Linked DNA regions of Nothobranchius furzeri. The protein of the gene in region 1 purifies or fractionates together with the protein of each later gene. This does not show direct contact. Links are inferred from orthologs where the notes say so. Each region holds a gene or a part of one and is shown on either strand. Other genes may lie near its edges. The genes, in order: jazf1a and nr2c2.

Evidence for each region.
Region 2: the proteins of jazf1a (region 1) and nr2c2 purify together in Homo sapiens (affinity purification with mass spectrometry; 4 studies listed by BioGRID and IntAct, with this or other methods). This does not show direct contact. The link is inferred for Nothobranchius furzeri from reciprocal best matches to the Homo sapiens genes JAZF1 and NR2C2.

What each region holds. Positions count from the first base shown.
Region 1 is NC_091751.1:29,727,720-29,732,286, reverse strand, and holds the start of jazf1a (juxtaposed with another zinc finger protein 1a), read left to right. Parts: upstream 1-1,618; 5' UTR 1,619-1,755; coding exon 1,756-1,870; intron 1,871-4,567. UniProt on the Homo sapiens protein: Acts as a transcriptional corepressor of orphan nuclear receptor NR2C2. Inhibits expression of the gluconeogenesis enzyme PCK2 through inhibition of NR2C2 activity.
Region 2 is NC_091755.1:54,623,887-54,628,149, reverse strand, and holds the start of nr2c2 (nuclear receptor subfamily 2 group C member 2), read left to right. Parts: upstream 1-1,308; 5' UTR 1,309-1,494; intron 1,495-2,575; 5' UTR 2,576-2,603; coding exon 2,604-2,657; intron 2,658-2,799; coding exon 2,800-2,895; intron 2,896-3,590; coding exon 3,591-3,791; intron 3,792-4,263. UniProt on the Homo sapiens protein: Orphan nuclear receptor that can act as a repressor or activator of transcription.

The DNA.
Region 1 (4,567 bases):
GTCGGGGTACTTTGAAGACCTTCTCAATCAGCACATCTTCCAGTCAGGAATCTGCGACTGGGGACTTTGGGTTGGGCTCTCCAACCTCTGGTGCTTAGGTCACTGAGGTGGTCAAAAAGCTCCTCAATGGCATGGCAGTCCCGAAGGGTATATAGGGGTTTGCCCAATTGATCTACAAGTGTTTTGTGGATTTGGAAAAGACGTTCAACCTTATGTTCCAACCCTCATCTAAGGTCATGAACTCTGGGTAGTGATTGAAAGAATGAGGCTGTGGATAAAAGTGGCCAAAGTTAGTTCTGGGTGCCAAGGCTTTTCCTTGGAGATAGGGTGAGAAGATTTTGTCATCTGGGAGGGGCTCAGAGTAGATCCTCATGCTCCTCTAGATCAAGAGGAGCCAGTTGAGGTGGCTCAGGCATCTGGTTATATTCCTCCTGGATGCCTCCCTGGTGAGGTTTTCTGGCCGCATCCAACTGGGAGGAGACAATGGACAATGGATGGAAGGATGGACTTTGAGAATGTTCCTGTGGCTATATATGGACATAGCTGCATGGCCAATCAGCTCAAAAGAAACCCCAGTATGATGAAAATCCTTATAAGTAATGTATTATTGGTAGAAGCTGGACCTTTTTAGAGGTCTTCCTGGGTGTGTGAAGGTTGCCCTTTTGGGGGCCCTGGGCTTTCCCATTGCTCTCTCGTAATTTAAAACCTGCCTATCATATAAAACTGAGGTGATGGAGGAGAAATCATGGAAATGTTGTAAATTTTAAAAAACTTTGCATTAATCTTTTCTTGAAGTAGCTGTTAGCTCAGATGTTATCTCTATTTCTCCAAACTGAGTTTGTTCAAAAAGCTTCGACATGAAAGATGGTGATAAATTTATACGTAGAAACAACTTTATTCCTTTTATCGAAAACCTTTATGCATGAATTTGTTTATTTTGTGACAAATCCGCTCTTATGTTTAAATCTATACATGATTGTTGTTTATTTATTATTCATTAAAACAAAGTAATGAGTTATTCTGCGGCAAACTGACTGATTACATTGACATCGGTTGTATTAAAAAGTAAAATATAACCTGAATAAATGGTTGTAGTTGTTTTAAAACAGTAATTGCATTGTAAATCAATCACTTGGTTCCGCCTTTGTCATTTTATCAAGGTTTTTGGTTTAAACTAATTAAAACATTATAATTTTCTACTTGAAACAAGTGCCTTTCTTTTGGTTGATGTAAACGTCATTTTAATTGATCATTTACAGGTGATGTGGTTTAATCTACATTGAAATGATACGATTATCTTTAAGCTCCACGTGAGGCTTTGACTGAAAAACATCAATGTGTTCGAATAAAAACATACATATCTAATTAAGATGGTGAATTCTGCCTTTTGTTTTCTCTGTTTCTGAAATCATCCCAGAACACTCAGATGTTATAAGTGAGGGAGCATCACAGATGCTGCTCAGATTTTCTGCTGATACTCAGCGCGCGCTGACTCCAACAGGTAAACACATCGTGACGTAGAACGCTACCCTTCCTCCCCCCACCCACCCACCCCCATCACCACCACCAGCCTCCCAGCTGCGTCCGCCGCTGTCCCGTCCTGTCTGGCCGCCCTCCCGCCCGGTGTCTGCTCCACGCTCTACCCCGCTCCCGTCCCGGACCCGAAGCCTTTGCCTCCTCGTTCACCAACCCCGGCTCCCGGTCCACCCTTCTTCTCCACCCCTCCCGGTGAATGCACCACCAGCGCCGTGAAACATGACTGGCATCGCCGCCGCTTCTTTCTTCTCCAACTCCTGCAGGTTCGGGGGCTGCGGTCTCCAGTTCGAGTCTCTGGCCGAGCTCATCGTCCACATCGAGGACAATCACATCGGTGAGTCCGGGCCGGAGGAGGGGGGAGGCGGAGGGGCTCAGCGGCTAGCCGGAGTCGGCTAGCATGCAGCTAGCTACATTCCGCTATTTCTGCTGCCCGCTCGTCGTCGAGGTTCGGCAGAGAGCGACTTCCTCCTTTATTATTATTATTACACATGTATTACATTGTAATGTTAATATACGTTTAATGACACCATGCTTGTGATTTTAGCATTGGCGAGTCGAGCATGGTAGGTATGATAGGTGTAGCATCCCGGCCAGGCAGCGGTTTGTCAGCTAACAGCGCTGATAGGTCCGTGTTTACGTACCAGGCCTGATGCTGCAGCAGCAGCCCGACCCCCCAGTCAGAGCATCCCTGTCTGCTCTACCTGCACAACCCCCTTACGGCTCTGACGTCACTTCAGGCTAACCTACACAAGTCAGAATTGGATCTTCCTGCAGATAAAACAAACCGTTTCATTTAATTATCAGACATTCTGACTCTTATCGGTTATAAATGAACTTTTAATTTGTTTCCCTTCATTTTAATGACTTGAAGTAAATGCTGCAGTCCAGAGGAAGGGGTGATGTCACGTTTTCAGCAGCATCACATAAATATGATCAATCTAAAGCTTCAGATCAGAAAAAAAACAACTGAATAAATACAAACAATAATGTCCAATTGATGGTAAAAACTATCCAAACCAACCTGGCCATGTGTGGAGAAGTAACAGACCCCCCTGGTAAATCATAAATGAACCTACTTTTTTAGAAAATTGAGTTCAGTTCCACCAGCCTCACCCAGACGTGATAACTACTGGATATGTAGAAATAAGACCTCACTTCATCAGAACCGGTCACTAGAGCAGGCTAAAAGATCTAAAAAAAAGCAACAATGTTCTGAATAAAAAAATATAAAAAACGATCACAGGAAATTACCTAAAACGCTTCAGGGCTCACTGGTTTTAAAACAAACATCACAATGGCAACAGTCAGACACGGTGGCGGTAGGGTGATGGTCTGGGGCTGCTGTGCTGCTTCGGGACCTGAGCCATCTGCTATAACGGATAAAACCATGAATTCTGCTCTCTAGCAGAACGTCATGAAGAGAACATCTGACCTTTGACCTTAAACAGGCCATGCATGCTGGGAAGCCATCCAATGTGGCTGAATAAGAACTATTCTGTAAAGAACGGTGGAACACAGTCCCTCCACAGTGGTGACACACTCATTAACAGGTAGGGATAACAATGTCTGGAAATGTTTCAGTTTGATTCACAATTGTATTCACATCAAGGTTAAACAGCACATAATTGATAGTGCAGTAATAGAAATCATATTATTAGAACATGTTTTTCTTTTTTATCTTTTATATGTTCTTGGAGCAGCTTGTGACTTTTATCTAGTGAGGCGGTTAATAAAAGGTATGTTCTTCTGGTTCTACTCTAACAATGCAAGGAAGAAAACTGAAGGTAGAAATAGCTTCGAAACATATTTATTAAAAAATGCACCCAGAGTGATCCCTGCATTATTTACCAAGGCCGGCTGCCTGGACATTTCTCCGGGCCGTCTGATTGTGTTTTTCTTTCTACACTCTAACACTGAACCAACATGTTTCACGTGCTTGTTCGAGTTACGGTGTGCCGTCAGAAGAAACATCAAACCGTTTTTTAAAGAAGAAAAGTTGAGCCTTCAAGTCCACTAAAGTGTTATTATGGTAAATCCTGGTCCGCTGCTGGAGACGTCTCTGTCCCTCACTCACCCACGGTGCTGAGAAACGGCATTGGCAGCAGATGGCCACAGCCACCATTATCGGCTGTAGCCCCGGTACCCCTCTCCCCTGCGAAGGGGAAAACCCAGATCAGGTCAGTCAGAAGCACAAAAAATCATCATGTGATCGCGTTGATTGAAATTGCAAGTTTGGTCCAAAAACGATAGATGGTTCAGCCCCATTAGCAGGTGTCACAGTCGAATTCAGCAGTAGTCGCTGAGGGCGCCACAACCACTTCCTAGATTTGGGCGTCGACTCGGGTAAAAATTGTCTGATTTTGAACGTTGTTTACTCAATCGAAACATTTATTTGTGGCTAAAATCCAAAACAGGAGAGACCTCTTAGAACTGTGTGTGTGCTTGAAAGGCAGTCAACAGATGAAAGACTTACTTATCTTTAGGGATTCTAGGTTTATTTTGCACCCTAACCCTGAATTATCATAGTTGTGGTTGATAATGAACATTTACCCAGTGGTGCATAACTGGTGCACCGATGGAACTAAAAGGATGGTGACACCACAGAGGAGTGCGCTGACTCGTGAACCTCTGAATAAAATCAGGGCTAGTCACTACTGGTGGCCAGTTTCTCTCCTCATGAGGCCGTTGGAAGGAGGTGAAGGGGTAAAATGGATGCTTCATTGAGCCAGTCTCCATGGCAACTGGCAGTCTCTGACAGGGTTGGGGGGGCAGTATGTTGGCTGAGTTATTGCACACCTGCTGTCTCACTAACAAAGAGCTCAGCAGAGCCGCCAGCGGTGGTGATAACACTCTAGATCATGGGTCATGTTGTGGATGATGGTGAGCAGGGCGTTTCCTTCCAAATTCACTGAAAAGGTTGAAATTAGCCCAGAATTCAATTTTATCACGCTGCACATCTCTTGATCTGCAGTTTTCCAGTGAATTAAGGATATTAACTAAGGAAAATGTGGACACAGGTATTATTTCCCCA
Region 2 (4,263 bases), on another chromosome or scaffold:
GCGGGGTCTGTGCCTGCAGGTCCTTCATGCTGCAGTCTCTGTAGGGTCCCACACCTGCTGCTGCAGTTCCTACTGGGTCCCACCCCGGCTGCTGCAGTTTTCCTGTTCCTGTTGTCAAGTCAAGAGTTCATGTGTCGAGTCAAAGAGTTCCTGTGTGTCCCGGTTCCCCAGTGTCCTGTAGAGTTCCAGTGTCCCGCGCCTGCTGCTGTCGAATTCCAGAGACCAAATCCCCCGAGTCAAGTGTTTCCCGGGTTCCCAAGTCACGTGTTTCCCGGGTCCCCTGTGTTATGTGGCCTTGTGGGCGTCTGGTATCTGCCCCTGCCTTCCTGACTGTGTCTCTCTCCTGCCCTGATTAGCCTTATTGTTCTCACCTGCCCATCGTTAACCTGCCCAAGTGTTCCTAATTTTCCCTGTGTATTTATACCTCCCGTCTTGTAAACTTCATTTGCACTGAGTGGTCAGAATGATGAACGAAGTTGTGTGCTGCAGGTTGAAAAATACGGAAGTGCAAAAACGGAAGTCCGTGGAGGCCAGCAGAATTTATCTCATAATTATGAGATACTAAGTCATAATTATGAGCTGCTAAGTCATAATAATGAGATAGTATCTCATTATTATGATAGCTAAGTCAGAGATAATAATTTTTTTTTATCTGAGTGGCGGGAATGGGCTTCCATAGTTTACCCTTTAAAGCAAATACTACTACTACTACTACTACTACTACTACTACTAATAATAATAATAATAAATGTAAGAAATAAAAATCCTTCAATCTGCATTGTTTTAAATAATACAGAGTTTTAAATTATTTAAAAACTGCCTTTTTAAACTCAGCGGACAGTTGTCTGCTGATCTGAAAGTGTCAAAACAGCCTGATGGAAGCAGCTGAAACAGAGAGGATGGATATGATCACAGACACCAAACATGTGAAAAGAGCATCTCTAAGGAACAACAAATTAAAAGTCAAATTAAACTTTAACATGAGGATTTTATATATAAGGGGTAGCCTACTGCTAATTTCACATAAACAACTCAAGTAAACTGTCATGAATAGAAATATAACTGCAAATATTTAAGGCCATGAAGCAGTCACAAGTAAACCAAAAACGAATATTTCCGTCAAATCCTCCACAAATCCAACGTGGTAAAATGCACTCATCACAAAAAGCGTATTCGACTTTTTTCGTCAAACTTGATCTTCACCACGTTATTAGTTTTACAATCAACGTGTCAATGAGCATTTAGACATAATGACGTCAGTTCTGTCTGACTCGCGACGTACAGTATATGTACAGTCTATGCTCGCGACCGATGCTCGCGACAAGGGTGGTGGGGAGGGGGGTGAATAGGCGGACGCGAGAGAGAGGAAGAAGGAAAAGTCATTATCATTAGTGCGCTGGCCAGGGGTCACGAACTATGACCTTTTCCAGACGAAAACCACAACAATAATATTTATTTAAAACCAGCAGAGCGCATTGAATTTGACTCTAAGAGGTAAGCGTACATGTTTTACTGAAACCACTCTCACGACTCTGGTAGTCGAGCAGAAAGGAGCTAATCTCGGTTAGCTTGTCGGCTAGCCGATGTTGAGCTTTCTTTCTGTCCGTGTCCGACTGCTCGGTATCCGGGTATGAACTGAGGAACGTTAGGGGCCGTCTGGCCTCTGTCATTAAGCGGAATGACACACGACATCACTGTCGGTTTGATTGGTAAACACAGCGGGAGACAGTTACGTTCAGCTGTTTGTAGCATTGAGCTAGCTTCAGTAGCTAACATCGGACAGCTCCCGCTGGTGAACTCGATCGACCCTTTTACCTTTGCCATCCCGTGGACGTGTGTGGATGAGGACTCTGTCGGTGTTATATTTTCTAGATATGTATTTTGAGTTGTACTGTTATAATAATTGCTGTTAGCTATTCTAATGTCAAAAAAGTCTCTTAAATACTAATTACCGTAATATCTATGGTGGTATTGGCTAACTGCCAAATTCTCCATTTTGTTTCATGGTATATTTGGAGTAGTGTCAATGATGGACAAATTGTTTGGCCAATCACTAAACAACATCAATCCATTCTTGCTGGTGATGTGCCGAAAAATGTACCCCTGCTGGGAAGCGCACCGCAGTCCTGGGAAGCACATTTCAGAGCAGCTGTTTTTTACGACCGTACAGAAATCCAAAGCGACTCCGCTTCTTACTACCTTTAAATAACAAATCAATTCAAATTCAAAAATACTTTAATAATCCCACAGGGAAATTGATTGGCCTAACTATTACACATGTATATAACGTGGGTTTGTCATGTAAAACATTGTAGGTAATGTTAGGTGCTAGTCTGTTCAAAAACATAAAATAAAACCAAAGATTCAGCCCCAAGTCAAACAAAATCATGGATATTTCAGCATCCTAAATGGCAGATTAGTTAGTTTGTCTAAAGCATCTTAAATCCTTCTTTGTTCAATGTTTTTTACCTGACACATTGCAGCTAGTATCTCTTGGTCATCACAGATCAAACGAAGATAAACACAGAATGAACATGCAAATAAGACTTAATGTCCTTGGTATCTCTCTAAACAGACCCCACCACTAATGACATCTCATCATTATGTCGACCAGCCTGAACCTGCTGTCACAGCAGAAAGCAGAGTCTGAAGCAGAGGTGAGTGTGCCGAGAAAGATTTTCACATTGTCCTGTTTCTTGGTAGGTTTTTATATAAAGTCAGTGAAAAAGCACTATAGACACTCATTTTTATTAGCTTTGATTGGGAAATGATCTTGGATAATTTGTTTAACTGGGCTAGGCGTTATCCTCTCCATCAGACTCCGTGATGAGTGAGTCTCCGCAGCGCTTTCAGGTCATCTCCACCGAGCCTGCAACAACACCACCGCAAATACAGGTAACAACTGGACCCCTCCTGCTGGCGCTCTTCTTTTAACGTCAACACAGTTAAGACAGTTTGACCGCTGTGACTGAAGCCTGACTTATACCTCTCCGTTTGCACTGGTTATGGAGACACGCAACGCCATGATGCGTCAACGTAGGTGCTCTGCCCATGTTTTTAACTGTTATTTGAAAGTGACTGTGCCTGGTCAGGGCGCCACTTCCTTTAAATTCATTAACAGCAGTGCCGTTCCCCCCTCAAAAATATAAAAAGAGCTGACTGAAGAATGTCTCGGAGAAAAAGTCGGACAATATGAATGCTAATACACCCGTAACTGAAGGAGAACAAAGATACTCAACAAATGTTTTATTAATGGAAGGAAATTACAGGAAACGTGGGTTTAGATGTGGCAACTGCACTACACTACACTATTGTGGACCAGTGACACAACTGCAGGAAGCCGCTACACCCTCTGTTGTCCTGGTGGGATATAGCTTTGCAACACTCTTTAGGCAATAAAAGGAAAACGTCTCCATCAGTGCATGTGTGACTCTGCACCTGAGCTGATGGAGGAGTCTAAATCAGGCTCTAGCTCTTAATTATTAATGTAATTCTGTCATTATCTTAACCTTAAACACGCTGGTGTCTGTTCATGCCCGTTGCCCATCTTCTTTTTTATAACCTACCTCTTGTGTCTCTCACATTGTCAGATTGTAACCGACCAGCAGACCGGTCAGAAGATCCAGATCGTGACAGCGATGAATCCTTCCAGTGCTCCCAAGCAGCAGTTCATCCTGGCCACGGCCAACAGCTCAGGGGCAAGCAAAGTCATCCTGGCCTCACCGGAGAATCACAACGCAAAGCAGGTCATCTTTACTGCTGCAGACAGCTTGATGCCAGGAAGAATACAGGTACAACTTCCTCATGAAGCCAGGGTTAGTAAAGAGAGTAGGGGTTGACAGATATATCGTTCGGCCGATATATCAGACCGATATTTGACATTTTTAACGCATCTGCATCGGCTGATACACCTCCTTAGTAAAGCCGACTTAAAGTCAGGCACATCCTCAGACAGCCCCGTGCCACTGCAGAATTAACTTAAACGTATATTTACATTCCTCAATAACATCTGCGTAATAAATACTCTAATAAAGTCTTTGCAACTAAAACTTTTTTTCATACTTTGGAATATTTAATACTTGGTCAGTTAATTGATTAGTTTGATTAAGTTTATTTAGAAGTTGGATTTAAACTCTGAGTGGTGCACAACATTAAGATTTAACTGTTGGTCAAAGGTACGACGGAGGGTATTTCTGAATTTCTGGAAATAACCGCCCCCTTCTTTCGACAGGAACCCGGTGAGAACGGTAAGGAATGAAGGCG